Linked DNA regions of Zea mays. Each later gene encodes a partner of the first gene's protein in a complex. Links are inferred from orthologs where the notes say so. Each region holds a gene or a part of one and is shown in the gene's direction. Other genes may lie near its edges.

Evidence for each region. The genes of interacting proteins can lie anywhere in the genome.
Region 2: Mitotic spindle checkpoint protein MAD1 (region 1) and uncharacterized protein LOC100194273 share a complex: the UniProt entries of both Arabidopsis thaliana proteins name them as parts of the mitotic checkpoint complex. The link is inferred for Zea mays from reciprocal best matches to the Arabidopsis thaliana genes MAD1 and AT2G20635.
Region 3: Mitotic spindle checkpoint protein MAD1 (region 1) and Mitotic spindle checkpoint protein BUBR1 share a complex: the UniProt entries of both Arabidopsis thaliana proteins name them as parts of the mitotic checkpoint complex. The link is inferred for Zea mays from reciprocal best matches to the Arabidopsis thaliana genes MAD1 and BUBR1.

The regions. Positions count from the first base shown.
Region 1 is NC_050098.1:177,131,567-177,137,125, reverse strand, and holds part of Mitotic spindle checkpoint protein MAD1, read left to right. Parts: intron 1-2,707; coding exon 2,708-2,870; intron 2,871-3,373; exon of another isoform or gene 3,374-3,417; coding exon of another isoform or gene 3,418-4,539; intron 4,540-4,612; coding exon of another isoform or gene 4,613-4,868; intron 4,869-4,941; coding exon of another isoform or gene 4,942-5,559. Other genes in the region: uncharacterized protein, read right to left, coding at 3,418-4,539, 4,613-4,868, 4,942-5,559. UniProt on the Arabidopsis thaliana protein: Required for the execution of the mitotic checkpoint which monitors the process of kinetochore-spindle attachment and delays the onset of anaphase when this process is not complete.
Region 2 is NC_050102.1:160,976,201-160,980,143, forward strand, and holds the start of uncharacterized protein LOC100194273, read left to right. Parts: upstream 1-1,143; 5' UTR 1,144-1,295; coding exon 1,296-1,420; intron 1,421-3,943. UniProt on the Arabidopsis thaliana protein: Serine/threonine-protein kinase that performs 2 crucial functions during mitosis: it is essential for spindle-assembly checkpoint signaling and for correct chromosome alignment. Has a key role in the assembly of checkpoint proteins at the kinetochore.
Region 3 is NC_050100.1:126,593,402-126,597,654, reverse strand, and holds the start of Mitotic spindle checkpoint protein BUBR1, read left to right. Parts: upstream 1-1,453; 5' UTR 1,454-1,507; coding exon 1,508-1,722; intron 1,723-1,903; coding exon 1,904-1,963; intron 1,964-2,081; coding exon 2,082-2,226; intron 2,227-2,330; coding exon 2,331-2,488; intron 2,489-3,022; coding exon 3,023-3,101; intron 3,102-3,181; coding exon of another isoform or gene 3,182-3,184; coding exon 3,185-3,251; intron 3,252-3,328; coding exon 3,329-3,380; intron 3,381-3,493; coding exon 3,494-3,650; intron 3,651-3,760; coding exon 3,761-3,849; intron 3,850-3,962; coding exon 3,963-4,043; intron 4,044-4,132; coding exon 4,133-4,193; 3' UTR 4,194-4,253. UniProt on the Arabidopsis thaliana protein: Essential component of the mitotic checkpoint. Required for normal mitosis progression. The mitotic checkpoint delays anaphase until all chromosomes are properly attached to the mitotic spindle.

The DNA.
Region 1 (5,559 bases):
TCAACGGATTCGGAGTGGTCGTCCCTGATGTTGATCTCATATGAAATCCTTTACTATCAGCTTCTTTCACCTTTTCCCGCAAAGCTTTGCTCTTGTTGGGATCGTTTTGCAATGACATACAACGTGCAATTTGTGCTTTTTTACCAGGTAATGGACCAAGCAAATGAACACGAACTCTAGTTAAACTTCCTTTGTACGATTTCTTGCAATGTTTACACTGCCACTCCTTTGTTCCACCAACATTTTTTCCACTCGGAACACCAATAATATTAATTTCATCTAGAAGTGGATGTTTCGTACCAGTAGCCGCAGCTCCATCTTCGTCACCACTGTCTGCGTCTGCACCACCATCTTGGATATCTACAGGCACCTCATGGACGACTTGCACATCATCATCTTCTTTTTCATCCGCACGCTTTCTTTTGCTTGAAGAACCGAAAACCATGTCTACGTTGAGGTTTGAGTTGGGTTGTGGTGCTGTACTGCTGTGCATCAGTGGATGGAGTTCTATTTAAATAGCAGGCAGTACGCGGTCGGCTCCCTGCCTAATCACTTAACGCGCTCCAGACATGGATAATCCCTTCCTCTTCTTACGCGCTCCATGCCTAACCCCTCAGCTTCCTGCGACCTTGGACGGACCGACGGATCTCCTCCACTGCGAGCGCGAATGCGCGACTCCTCCACTGCGAGCGCGAGTGCGCGACTCCTCCACTGCACCGCGACGGCGCGACCTCCTCCACTGCGCGATTTCTCTTCCCCACTGCGCTCTTCCTCTTCCAGTCTTCCCCACTGCGCGATTCCTCTTCCTCTTCCCCACCACGCGATTCCTCTGCGCGATTCCTCTGCCTCTTCTACCCACTGCGCGATTCCTCCGCCTCTTCCGGTGATCCGGTCTTCCCCACTGCGCGGCGGCGACGGCAGCGTCCCAGCGCGGCGGCCGGACAACGCCCGCATCGCCCCAGCGCGGCGGCCAAGCGCGGCGGCCAAGCGCGGCGGCCGGCAACGCCCGCAACGTCCCAGAGCGTCGTCCCAGCGCGACGGCCAAGCGCGGCGGCGCGGCGGCCAAGCACGGCGGGGCGACTTCCTAAGGTAAGCGTTCCTACCTTCTATAAACGGCGTTCCGCGAGCGTTTCTTGTAGTGTTCCCCTTCGTTCCCGTTCCTCGTTTCGGGACGAAATTCCGGGAACGCGGAACGCGCCATCGTTCCCCGTTCCCTGTCACTAAGGGTTGGACCTCATGTTAAAAATCCTACAAAATCTCACTACAATGCTCAATTCCATAGGAATTTTATAGGATTTGTAGCAATTCAATCCTTTGTTCCAAAGGACCACATAGAAAATTTTTCCATAGAGTTTTAATCCTTCAAAATTCCTCCACTTTTTCTTTGTTCCAAAGGAGGCCTTATCTCTGTATTCAAATTCCTGCACACCATCCAAAGGCAGGTGGAAAATTTTCCTGCATTCGCAGTTCCTGTAGGATTGCAATTCATAGCCAACTCTAATCCATTGTTTTTCCTATTCCTGTGTTTTCACATTCCTGTGTTCCAAAGGGGCCCTAAATACAGTTAGTTGAGTGCGCTCGAGTGAGGTCCGGGGAAGGAATAACCGAGGCAAGCCTTACCTCTGCATTTTTGCAGAGAGCCGGTGTCAAACTCAAGACTTTTGGCTCAGTGGGGAGGCATCTCACCACTGCGCCAGGCCTGTCCTTCTGATATATACTATGTGAAAGCTACTAATTTATTCCCTCTGTTCCAAATTATAAGAAGCTTACTTTTTCTAGTCGGGCTGGTCGCCTGTTAACAGCCGATTAGCCGGACGACTCGATTAGGGAGCCTGGTCGTCCCGATCGTCCGATTAGTTGACGATAAGGGCGATTAGTCGTCCGTTTTTCCAGTTTCTGGTCGTTGGTGCTAGGATTTTTGTGTTGGGCTACAGGACCAATGTTTTCGCTCATCTACAAGAACATAAGTTCCGCCTCTCCTCTCCTCTGCTAAAACCCTAAGGCTGCCTAAACCCTGCATGTATCCCTCTGTCGGGCGGCTGCTCCAGAGGTCCAGATCACCGGCGTCTCCACTCTCCAGCACTAGTGATCCCCTCTGCCTGAACTCCCGATCACCGGCAGCTGCTCGCCTGCTCCAGTCACATGTGCCCCTTTGCCTGCTCGCCTGCTCCACAGCTCCAGTTCATAACTCTAGAGTCCAGATCACCGGTGGGCGACGGCTGCTCCAGATCACCAGCGTCTCCAGCACCAGTGACAAGATGAGTTCGTCATCTCAAGGTTCCCCCTGCTCCCTCCCTCCATCTCTGTAGTTCTGTTCTGTCTGTGTCTCCCACCAGTGATCAAACACTAATGGCTGTTGCTGCTCTAATCCTAAGCCGACTGCTGATAGTGACTTGTACCTCTGCCTGTTATTTTGTATATCCTGCTGTTTATACCTATATAAGTATAAATACCAGTCTAAAAGGTCTAGGACGATCAGGGACCGACTAGGACCGACTAGGGGTCGACTAATCGCCCTGGTCGTCGCCTAATCGCGACTAGTCGCCTGGTCGTCCCCAGTGTTCGACCAGGTGACCAGGCGACCAGGCGACTTGAAATCATTGCTAGATACATTGATTTTATAATTTGGAACAGAGGGAGTAACTTGCAACATTTCTCTTGTGTGCCATGCTTCTGCTAGCTTCAAAGTTCTTGTTATATTTGACAGTTAGGTCATGGGGATTACTCTGCTTCAAGCACAAAAGTACTGCGCATGATGAATACTCTTGGAGTCGACAATGAAGCCAAGCAGACAATAGAAGTACTGCAAGCTGAGCTAAAGAAAACAAAAGAGAGGCTGCAAGCAGTTGAAGAACTGAAAGGACAAACTGGTACGAGCTACATTATTTGTAATTTTTATGATCCTGTGGATTTCTATTTTAATTTATTTTCATATGTAAAAACTTGTTTACTGCTTCTGCTTACTGTAGTCTACATTGTATTTGCTAAGGGGTTTGTGTTTGGAGTATCTGCTTAATATAACAAAAGTTACAAGATAACCCTTAGTGACAAGGTTCCCGGAACGTTGGGAACGAGGAACGGGAACGAGGAACGCGGTACGTCTGTTAAAGCAACATGGAACGTTGAGGGGTATACAGCTGATCCACGTTCATTCGATGCGTGGAACGTGTTCCCAACGATTTAGGAACGCAGTTAGGGAACGATTGTAATGGAACATGGAACGATGCATAATTGAAACAACCAATGACACGTACATAATATATAATATATGTATATATAATTGATAATGATGGGATCCCGATAATGATAAGTCATAGTGTCTTAGCTTATTTATATATATATATATATATATATATATATATATATATATATATATATATATATATAACGGTAACGATAATCACTTTCTTGCAAAGCTTAGATAGAAGAGTCTTCTGGATCAATGTCCCATTTAGCATGTGCGCCATGTTTGTAGCCATCTGTTGATCTTGACAAAAGTCGCAAATTGGAGTGAATGAAGACTAATTTATCTGCAGTGGTAGTGTTCATCCTATTGCGCTTGGTGTTATGGATATGGCTGAATGTGCTCCAAATTCTCTCGGCCGATGAACTGCTGATGGGTTGAGATAAAACTTTTTTTGCAACCTCAGCTAAATCTGGAGTCTCAGAACCATAACTTACCCACCATTCAATCGGCTCCATGGTAAATGCATCCAATTGAACGGGTGGCAGCGCAAACATTCCCTTCTTCATAATAAAAGCATTAAATTGCTCCCTCAAAACTTGTTGTTCCCTTGGAGAATCTGCAATTTTACTAAAAGCTTCAAGCACATTAGTCATAACCTCCTTATCTGTATTAGGAGCTTGCCTTATGGTGCCACCAGGAGCTGGGGTGTTGAGGTATTGTTGATGATAAAATTTTGGGCATAAGGCATATGCTAAGCAATGAAGGGGAAGATTCATCTTCTCCCAACGGCGCATAACGATACTTTCAACCTCAACAAAATCATCTTTATGCGGGTTATCATCTTTTGTCATTATATCTTTTATTTCACCAACCATGCAATCCATTCTCTCGTAGATTTCTCCCATCTTTGGACCTTCTCCATCACTAAACCTTAATACGGAGTATATTGGCTCTGTGATAGCAATTATATTTTCAGCCTCCATCCAAAAGCTGTCATCATTTATTGTTAGGACAATGACCCTTGCTTGGTGCTTCACATCATTAGTGCAAGTATTTACCCAATCTTTCCACTGCCTTGTGACTACTGTGGTGGCAAGTGCTTCTCTACATGTTATGAGTCTTTGAAGCAATATGTAATGTGAAGCAAATCGAGTTTTTTTCACCTTAAGTAGGTCCAAACGAGAGTTGGTTCTAAACATTGCCAAACAATGGCAATGATTCTGAAAAAACTTGACAATTGCTTTTCCAGTCTTATATGTGTCAAGCATCCATGGAAATTTCACAGCAAAATCCTTGAATATAAGGTTTAGCGTGTGAACAACGCATGGGGCCCAAAAAATGTGCTTATGCACCTGTAATCAAACAAAATATGATTAGGGAAAATCCAAGATAAAAAACACTTGAAGGACAAAATATGTGACTTACTTTTTCAATTTCTTTTCCAGCTGCTTTGCAATTAGCAGCATTGTCCGTTACCACTTGAAGGACATTTCCTGGTCCAATTTCATCAATAGCCTTCAAGAGATATTGTGCAATAGCTTCACCGGTTTTTTCAACTCCAGAGAAATCTTCTGCATATAAGAAACATGAACCTCGACTGTTCGACGCAATCACATTGATTAGGGGCTTGTTTTTTATATCTGTCCATCCATCGGACACAACCGAAACACCTTGTGTCAACCTAATGCATGATTAAAAGTGAGTTTTTGGAGAAAAAATCATACAATGAAAAGACAATAAAATTAAGAACTTACCATGTACTTTTAAGTGGTGCTAAGTCGGTCTCCACACTTCTCTTGCATGCATCTAGGAGAGTTGTCCTTGCCTTTTCACTCGACGGACCTTTATAATCTTTTGGACCATTTTTTATTGCCATTATCATTTGTGAAAATTGAGGGCTCCTCAACACATTGAATGGAATACCGTTGGCACATAAAAATTTGGTAATTTCCATATCGACAGACTCCCTTTGGGCTACTCCAAACGATTTTGTCAACGGATTCGGAGTGGTCGTCCCTGATGTTGATCTCATATGAAATCCTTTACTATCAGCTTCTTTCACCTTTTCCCGCAAAGCTTTGCTCTTGTTGGGATCGTTTTGCAATGACATACAACGTGCAATTTGTGCTTTTTTACCAGGTAATGGACCAAGCAAATGAACACGAACTCTAGTTAAACTTCCTTTGTACGATTTCTTGCAATGTTTACACTGCCACTCCTTTGTTCCACCAACATTTTTTCCACTCGGAACACCAATAATATTAATTTCATCTAGAAGTGGATGTTTCGTACCAGTAGCCGCAGCTCCATCTTCGTCACCACTGTCTGCGTCTGCACCACCATCTTGGATATCTACAGGCACCTCATGGACG
Region 2 (3,943 bases), on another chromosome or scaffold:
CATTCCCTAGCGGTTGACTCCCCAATTTGAATGTACTCGTCTACCGCATCAGTAGGTAACCCATAACCAAGTATCCGCATTGCCGCACATACTTTTTGTAGGGGCCCGAGTCCTAGCATGCCTGTTGCGTCCACCCGTTGCGTAAAGTAACTATCCTGCTGTTGCAGTCCTTCCATAATGCGGATGAACAACGGCCTACTCATGCCGAACCTATAAAATTTAATAGGTTCATTGTGAATACAATGATAATGTCATAACATATTACAATAATTTGAAGTGCGTACCTTCTACGAAACACGTGGGTGGATACACTGGGTTCGGGCCGAAGTAGTGATGCTGGATGAGATTTTCTCCAGCAAAATGATCCCTGTGAATGATGCGGCGAGGTATACCGGAACATCGTCGGAGATGGCGTTTAGCCTCAATGTTGAGGGTAAGAAGATTGACAAGCAAAAGTGTGTCGTCCTCACTATCACTCGAATCGGAATCATCTTCCCTATGCCAGTGAGACATACCGAACAATGGCTAACTTGCTGGAGTTGTGTTCGTTGTGGCTACATATGCGAAGAGAAAGTATGCATATATATAGGCGAGATCAATGTGGCTTCAGGGGAAAGCTCGTGGCTTTCGTTGGAAGCCAACCGTGGCTTCCTGCGTACGAATGGTCGGTGTCTGCTTCCAACGTAAGCTTGGTTCAATTTTTTACATCGCAATGTTTCTCAATAATTATGACGACGCACAATTGTGAAGTTTTGTATGCAATTTCGAAATAAATTTTAACTCAAATGTTTGTTTTGTATATTATGCATAATTTGTAAAAAAATAAATATATTTTTTTTATAAATTTATAACATCGCAACATGCCGGACGTGTGAAAAGGAAAAAAGGAAAAAGAAAATGAATTTGGTTATGTTAGTTATATGGAAATGTATATTTAATGAGTAGAGGGATATATATATGAGAATTTTTAGGGAGAATAGTTGCGGGATAAGTGAATATAGGAGAGTGAATCTTGCTGACGTGACTATATAGTAACATTTAGGGGAAAAAATTTAAAGGACACTACTGCATACAGTCTAAAGTAGTAGGGGAAATATTTGGGTCCTGACGAGTGGGCACTGGCCACTTAGCTGCGGGGCGATTCTTTTTCAAATTTTTTGGGTGCCAAATATTTGCCCTCCAGTGCTGTCCACGGCTCAGCCTCACACACGCGCGAGAGCAAATTGCAGAGCTGCTCGTCGCCGGCGATCGCCGCAGGGTTCGTCCGAGAGGGGAGAGGCTCTCTGTATCGGGGCATGGTGATCCTGGACCGCACTCCGGCCGCGGCGCAGGGGGCCGCCTGTAGCCCGCTCCCGAAGTCGCCTAGGTTTTCGTGGGAGGTGGCCTCGCCGCCCTCGGACCCCATCCTCCCGTACCTCAGGTAATCTCGAATCTACCTCGAGATATGCCTCTGTTACTTGGATTCATTTAGCGTGTGCGAATCCGTGTGGGAGCTCGCTTAGTGCACGGGTGCGGTGCGTCCGTGCGTGTGCTTGTGCGTGTCTGAAGGTTCCGCCGTTTGATTGAATGTAAAGCATGTGCAATTTGGACGTTTAGTTTAGCTTGCGCGGCTCTACCTCCGCGATTCAGGGTCTGGTTACTCATGCCTACCAGTACCCCTGTGGGATTGAACTGGGATGCACTAGTATATGTTGATTTCTTATTCAAATTCTTGCGAGGCTGCCATGTGTGAGACCTTGATTTCGGTCTTAATTAGGCTGCTTATAGGTCTGATTTTCCTCTTCTAAAAATCCATGTACATAATGGAATGAGCTTAGACATGTGTTTGGGTCAAGGATAACCAAACCGTTTTTGGAGAAAACTGCTACCCACGGGTAATGGGTAAACCGGTGAAAACCGACAAAATCAACCGGTTTGCCCATGTCAAATTTGAACAAATTCAAAATGGTTTTACGGCGAAAAACCGGCGGTAAACCACCCAATGCCGCTGGTAAACCACCCATATGAATCATTTTTTTGTTTTCAGGGAAAAATGGAAAATTTTGGCAGAGTTCATTTGTAATTTGCTCAATTCACGTTGCATAGTAAATACTAACTGACTCACACAACATATGTTCACCAAAATGATATTCAACATACATATGCAACCACAAACTTCAATTCTCATGCAACAAACAACCATCGGATGGCACAATACTCAAATACAATTATACAAGTTCTTTTAGAGTTCTCCCACGAGGCCACGATACATATGTCTACTTGTTTCACAATACTCTTTATTCAGCTCGAGTCATAGTATTCAGGCATGTTGGAAGGATCCTGGTATGGGCCCATTCCGTATACGTAGTCCTATACAATGATATGAGATACATTAGCGATAAAACAAGAACGATAAATAAATACCTATTGTCGAAGCAAAAATAACACACCGATCTGCTTGTAGTTACATATACATGCATCTCGACAACAACATAGAATGGTCGAAACGGGTACCACCCCCTATGTGCGAGATGTCCCTCTTCTTCCCCCTTCGATTTGATGATCTTTTTTATGTGCGAGATGCTCCTTCAAACGTGTACCACCCCCTCCGCTCTTAGTTTCTCTACAATATTTTCTCTTGAAACCCGTGCTAACCTTCTCTCCATGCTCCTAGACAATGTCCGACATGCCTCCTATAAATAAGAAGACATAATATCATGTAACAAGAGTAGAATAAAAACATATAACTTGTAGCAAATGGCATATTAACATAAAACATCGAAACATATTTACTAACAAAAACATAAACCATCTGACAATAACTAAATATTAACATGACACAAGCAAATGAGTTAGGTCTTAGCATAGAACTATGTATTAACACGAACAAATGGACCTACACACTACACATATATTAACAATACTAACATATATATAACTAAATACTAACATATATAACTATATATTAATAGTACTAATATATAACTAGTAGGCTACAATACACCTAACTTTTGATGATGTAAAAAAAATCTAAAACCCTAAACATCACAAAACCAAATCTGGGCACTAAATGATTAAACTAGAACTCAATCATGTCATTAAATCCGGTTTTCCGGTGAAAACAGGCGGTGTCGGGTGTGGTAATTAGGCGTACTCAGATTACACCCCTAAAACACACTTAACCACTAAAAACACCATCAAGGTACGAAGGATCGTAAGCCGCGCTTCGCCCAAGGCCCCCCTCAGGGGTCTCCACAGACTCCGCCTCGCCCGAGCCTGTCCTCGGACGGGGTGTGTTCTCGAGAGAATCCTCGTCCCGGTCGAGGTCCCCTCACCCCAGAACGACAGTCTCCGCCTCGCCCGAGCCCACCTCGGGTAAGGGAGACAAAACCCAGGGCGAGACTCAGCTGAAGTCTGCCGGGGACAACAACATTCAATGCGCATACCTAACCCACATAGGGCTGCAGGTGTGCAGGAGTAACAAGACCACAGTCTAGTCAAAGATTCACCAACTATGATTACGCATGCGACCACTGTTCCTGTACGCCGTCTGCCAACTCCTGACGGGACATACAATACGACAAGGGTACAGGCTAGCCCTCGGGCGTAAACTTCGTTTCGCCCGAAGTAGAACTCGGCCTCGGGATAAACTCGGCTCGCTCGAGCCCGGTCTCGGCTACCTACTCCCCATGAACCCCGCAGGAGGCCACTCCTTCAACTGTGGCACACGTTTTCGAATCTCAGAATGGGCTCAGTCGCGATCTCGGACGGACTACCACCTCGCCCGAGCTCGGCTCTGACCTCGATATCTGCAACGGGAAGGCGCCCAACGTCATCAGACACTGCAGAACTGACACACTACTCGGGATGAAAACGGTTTCGGAATTTTTCGGTATTCTGGAAACCGATTTCGAAATTTTTCGATCGGATTCACCGGTAACAGTATTTTTTCAAAAACGGAATC
Region 3 (4,253 bases), on another chromosome or scaffold:
GTATATATGTATATACGTTTTTTAAAATAAAAAATATAATCGTGTCGGGTTGGGCCAATACTATGGGCTGAGGCTACAACTCAAGCACATCACGGCGTTCTTGGCTCTTGTAAGCATTAGGTCGTTTCTGAGACCACATTGGCGCAATGGACTCCATGGTGTTTGAGGTTGCTGAATTGGATGGAGCAACAATGATGTGCCACACTAACAGTAAAATGAAAGGTTATTTGTTGGTTCTAAACGTTAGTAATTGCTACGAAGTAGCATAATTTATATGGAACACATCCAGTTTTTATTGATGCCTGACTTTAGCAACCACTCTATATTTTGATCTATCTTTTTTATAAGTTTGAGTTCATGTGACTTATTTTAGAAACTTGAGCTTACAAACTTTCTCTTATTTGGTCTCTGTATATAGGAATTATGTCATTCTATAATCTATGTTCGTTCAGTCAGTCGTTATGAACTCTCTTATAATCGCTCATTTCATTGGTTGTGTTGTACCAAGACATACTGGATGGAGTAAACAATAACATCAGTTAGCCAAATCAAAAAAACATTATACGGAGAGCAGAGACAAATAATAAAAAATCTTGATATTTTTATGGATTTACGTGGGTATTGTTGTAAGCCGTCGCAACGCACGGGTAACCGACTAGTATTAGTAATAATTGAGTTATATCTATGAATTTTAAGCCTTCTCACGTTGAGCGCAACAAAATATTTAATGAATAATTAGCCAACCTACTTATTCAAAAATAATTACTATTGTATTGTATCATAAGTAGTATTGTGCAAATTAAAGAATGATCCAAATTTTGTGTCGGGTGTGGGTCACCCATGGTTGAAATAGAAACCTGCATAACACTCGTGAAACTTTGAGTCGAGTCTGGGGTGCACTCACGGGTTAAAATTTTTACCTGTACCCGCACCCGTCGGGTTGGGTACGTGTCGAGTTTCGGGTTTGCGGGTTAAATTGCCATCCCTACATAAAAGTGTAGGGGGGAGGAAAGACATGAGTATGCTCACATCCGATCGTTTTGATGGAGCAGAGACATCTCAATTATTTATGATATATTTTTATACGGAGACTATAAGAGTCGCTTTACTCTCTTTCATTAGAAACCAAACATCTACAAAAAATAGAACTGGATTGGTTCCATTCGCATCCACTCTTTTACCAAACACATCCTAATATATGTACTTGGTGGAGTAATTTAGTCCTCGTTTCATGGTTGCTTTTTTTTTTTTTTGCTAAAATTTACGCTTCTCATGGCATACAGCCAGTTGAATTTGTTCCAGCCAAGCAAAACATAGCTGGGCTATTTTGAGTACAAACCGGCCCAAATAAAACATGGGATTAACTAAAAGCCTACGGCCCAAACTTTTCGCAAAGCTTCACCGTTTAAAACCGAAACCTGACCTGCGGGCTGCAGCAGCGTCCGCTCCAAAACGCAACGGTCGAATCTCCTCGAATTCGAATTGCAGCCGGTGCCACCCACCTCACATGGCGGCGGCGGAAGAGATGATGGCGGTGCTGGACAAGGAGACGCTGGCGCTGATGGGTCTGGGCAACGCCGCCGCCGCGGTGGTTGCCGAGTGCGAGAAGTTCAAGGAGAACGCGAGGCCGCTCAAGCGCGGGCGCGACGTGTCCAAACTCAACCACGCGCTCAAGGCACACGCCGATCCCGCCCAGCGCGCCACTCTTCTCGAAGCCCGAAAGTACGTTTCCTTCTCCAGTCTTTCGCCCAGCAATGGGGGAAAAGGAGTTGTGGTTTTGTAACTTTTGTTTGCTCTGGATTTCTTTTTCTTGGGCCTGGGTCTGTGGGGAGGAGACAAGTTGCTGCAGTAATGCAAATATATATCATGTGTGTTCATCGTTCGGTTCATTTGCTTGATCCAGGAAGCTGATTGAGGCAATCTACGAGTACCAAGGCGAGGATCCGCTCCAACCGTGGCTGGAGTAAGTTTTTCTCATAGCCCCTTTAACTCGCCTTTTTCGATTTCTTGGTTCGTGCCAGGACTGGTAGCTGTTCTAGCAGATAGATTGTTCATTTCTTCTCTGATTCGTCCGCGTGCAGCTGCATCAAGTGGGTGCAGGAGTATTTTCCGACCGGCGGCGAGTGCTCAGGGTTGGTGGTGTTGTACGAGCAGTGCGTGCGGACCTTATTGGACGACGAGCGCTACAAGGACGACCTCCGCTTCCTCAAAGTGTGGCTGGAATACGTGAGTGATGCTTTGCCAGCTTGATTGTTTTTCTCTGTAGTTTGTGTCAGTGCAGTGGAGGCACCTCATATATCATTCCGCTGCCGATCTTGTCCTTTTTGCAGGCGGGGAACTGTGCTGATGCTGAGGTAATATACAGGTTCCTGGAGGCCAACCAGATTGGGCAGGGCCATGCGATCTACTACATGTCTTACGCATCGTTGCTGGAGTCAAAGAACAAGTTGAGGAAAGCTAATGAGATCTTTGACCTTGGTATAGCTAGGTGAGATTTTCTTTAGATCAGCACGTTTGTTCATATAAAGCTCCTGAGTTTTAAATTGTTAGGTAGATCATGCTGTTGTACTATATATCCGATCCAAAAATTGTGTCCTATAATGGACATGGAGTACATATATGCTCCTGTGTTTGATTTTCGTACATAACAAGAGTCAATGATGGTACAAAAATGAGGCTGATGTTATACTGAATCAGTTTTCCTTCTTTGTTTTATTTTCATGATCACTTCTAATTTGATACATTCTAACGAATTAGAAATAAAAAGTTCCTTTTAGTTTCTAGTTCGCAAACGTAAAATGAAAAAAAAATCTCAGTCTTCTACTTCCTATTCTTTAAGATTTGACACTCCTTTGACTAGTTATGCCACTATCTTCTTGTAAATGATACAACACTCGGAATTGTTTTACTTATCATGGTTTCTGCTTACCTCTTTTGTTATGGTTAGTTGTGCATTGGTTTTAATACTTGATTAATCCATGTGAATGTATGAAGTTTCTTATATTCGATTTTTTATTGTCAGAAAAGCGAAGCCTCTGGAGAAGTTGGAAGCTGTATACAGGGCATTTCTTCGAAGATCAATCAAAAAGAGGGAACAAGAGGTTTGCTATTCAAATTACAGCAGTGTTTATTTATCTTGAAGCCAATACCTCAGTTGAATGACTTCTTTCTTTTCCTGTAGCAGGATGATACAGTAGATGATGATCTGCCAAAACGCAGTTTCGGGAATAACTTGAAACGAGATGAAAACAGTAAGCTTGTTCAGTTTTACTCTGATTTAGCATGAACTTCGAGTGGCTGCAACCTAATACATATGCAAACATGGCAGGAAATCAGCAAGCAGGGAACTCCCACCTGGGGAGACCAAGGGCACTGCAGAGGTCAGTACCTGTATGATGTGACAGATGTAAAATATCCATCTAAACCTGGAGTTTTTTTTCCTCATCATGTCACTGATTATGCCTTTGCACACTTGCGGAATCGATGCTAACAGGCCGCTTTCAGTTTACAAAGATGAAAGTCCATTACCAAATCAGGGCCTTGACAGAGTGAGGAGCAAAGAAAATAACACAAGTTGGCGCGTCCTCGGAACACGAGCAGAACGGAACAAGGAAAATAACATGATGCCTGCTAAATGGACGTCTCACAAGGTACTTTTGCCATGCCATTTAGGATTCTCTGAAGTGGCCCATGTGAGACTTGCACCGAGGACAACTATTCAGTAACGAACTTGTGGTAACACTGCATTGTTGTTGTACAGATTCCACAGAAGTTAGGAGCAAGAGGAGCGGTTCAATCAACCCGAGCCAGTTGTTCCATTGAAGTCTTCGTCGAGGAAGACTGCACACAGTATGTTATTTAACATGCTAGTGTTACTCTTTTCTTTTTTGAGATTGTTCAAAGTTACTACAAAAACATATATGTCTAAATAGACTCTTTTTTTCCCCTTTGGATTGCTGTAGGGAACCTGCTCGGCCGGTGCCAAAGAGCCCAAATCCTTCTGTTCTGAAGCTCAGGCAAACAACAAGCAAAAGCCTTAAGAAGTAAGTACAGCATAGCTCTTGTAGCTTCGGGTATTTGGGAAACTATTGTCAGCAGTTCCCTAACCTCTGCGGTCTTTTCTTTGGAGCAGGGAGACTGAATTGCTCAAGGAGAACCCGCTGCGCAACTTCCCCCTGAGCAGGCTTAGGTAATCAGCATCTTGCTGGTTCTGAGAAACATCTCGTACGTTATGATTTGGTCGTATGTATGGT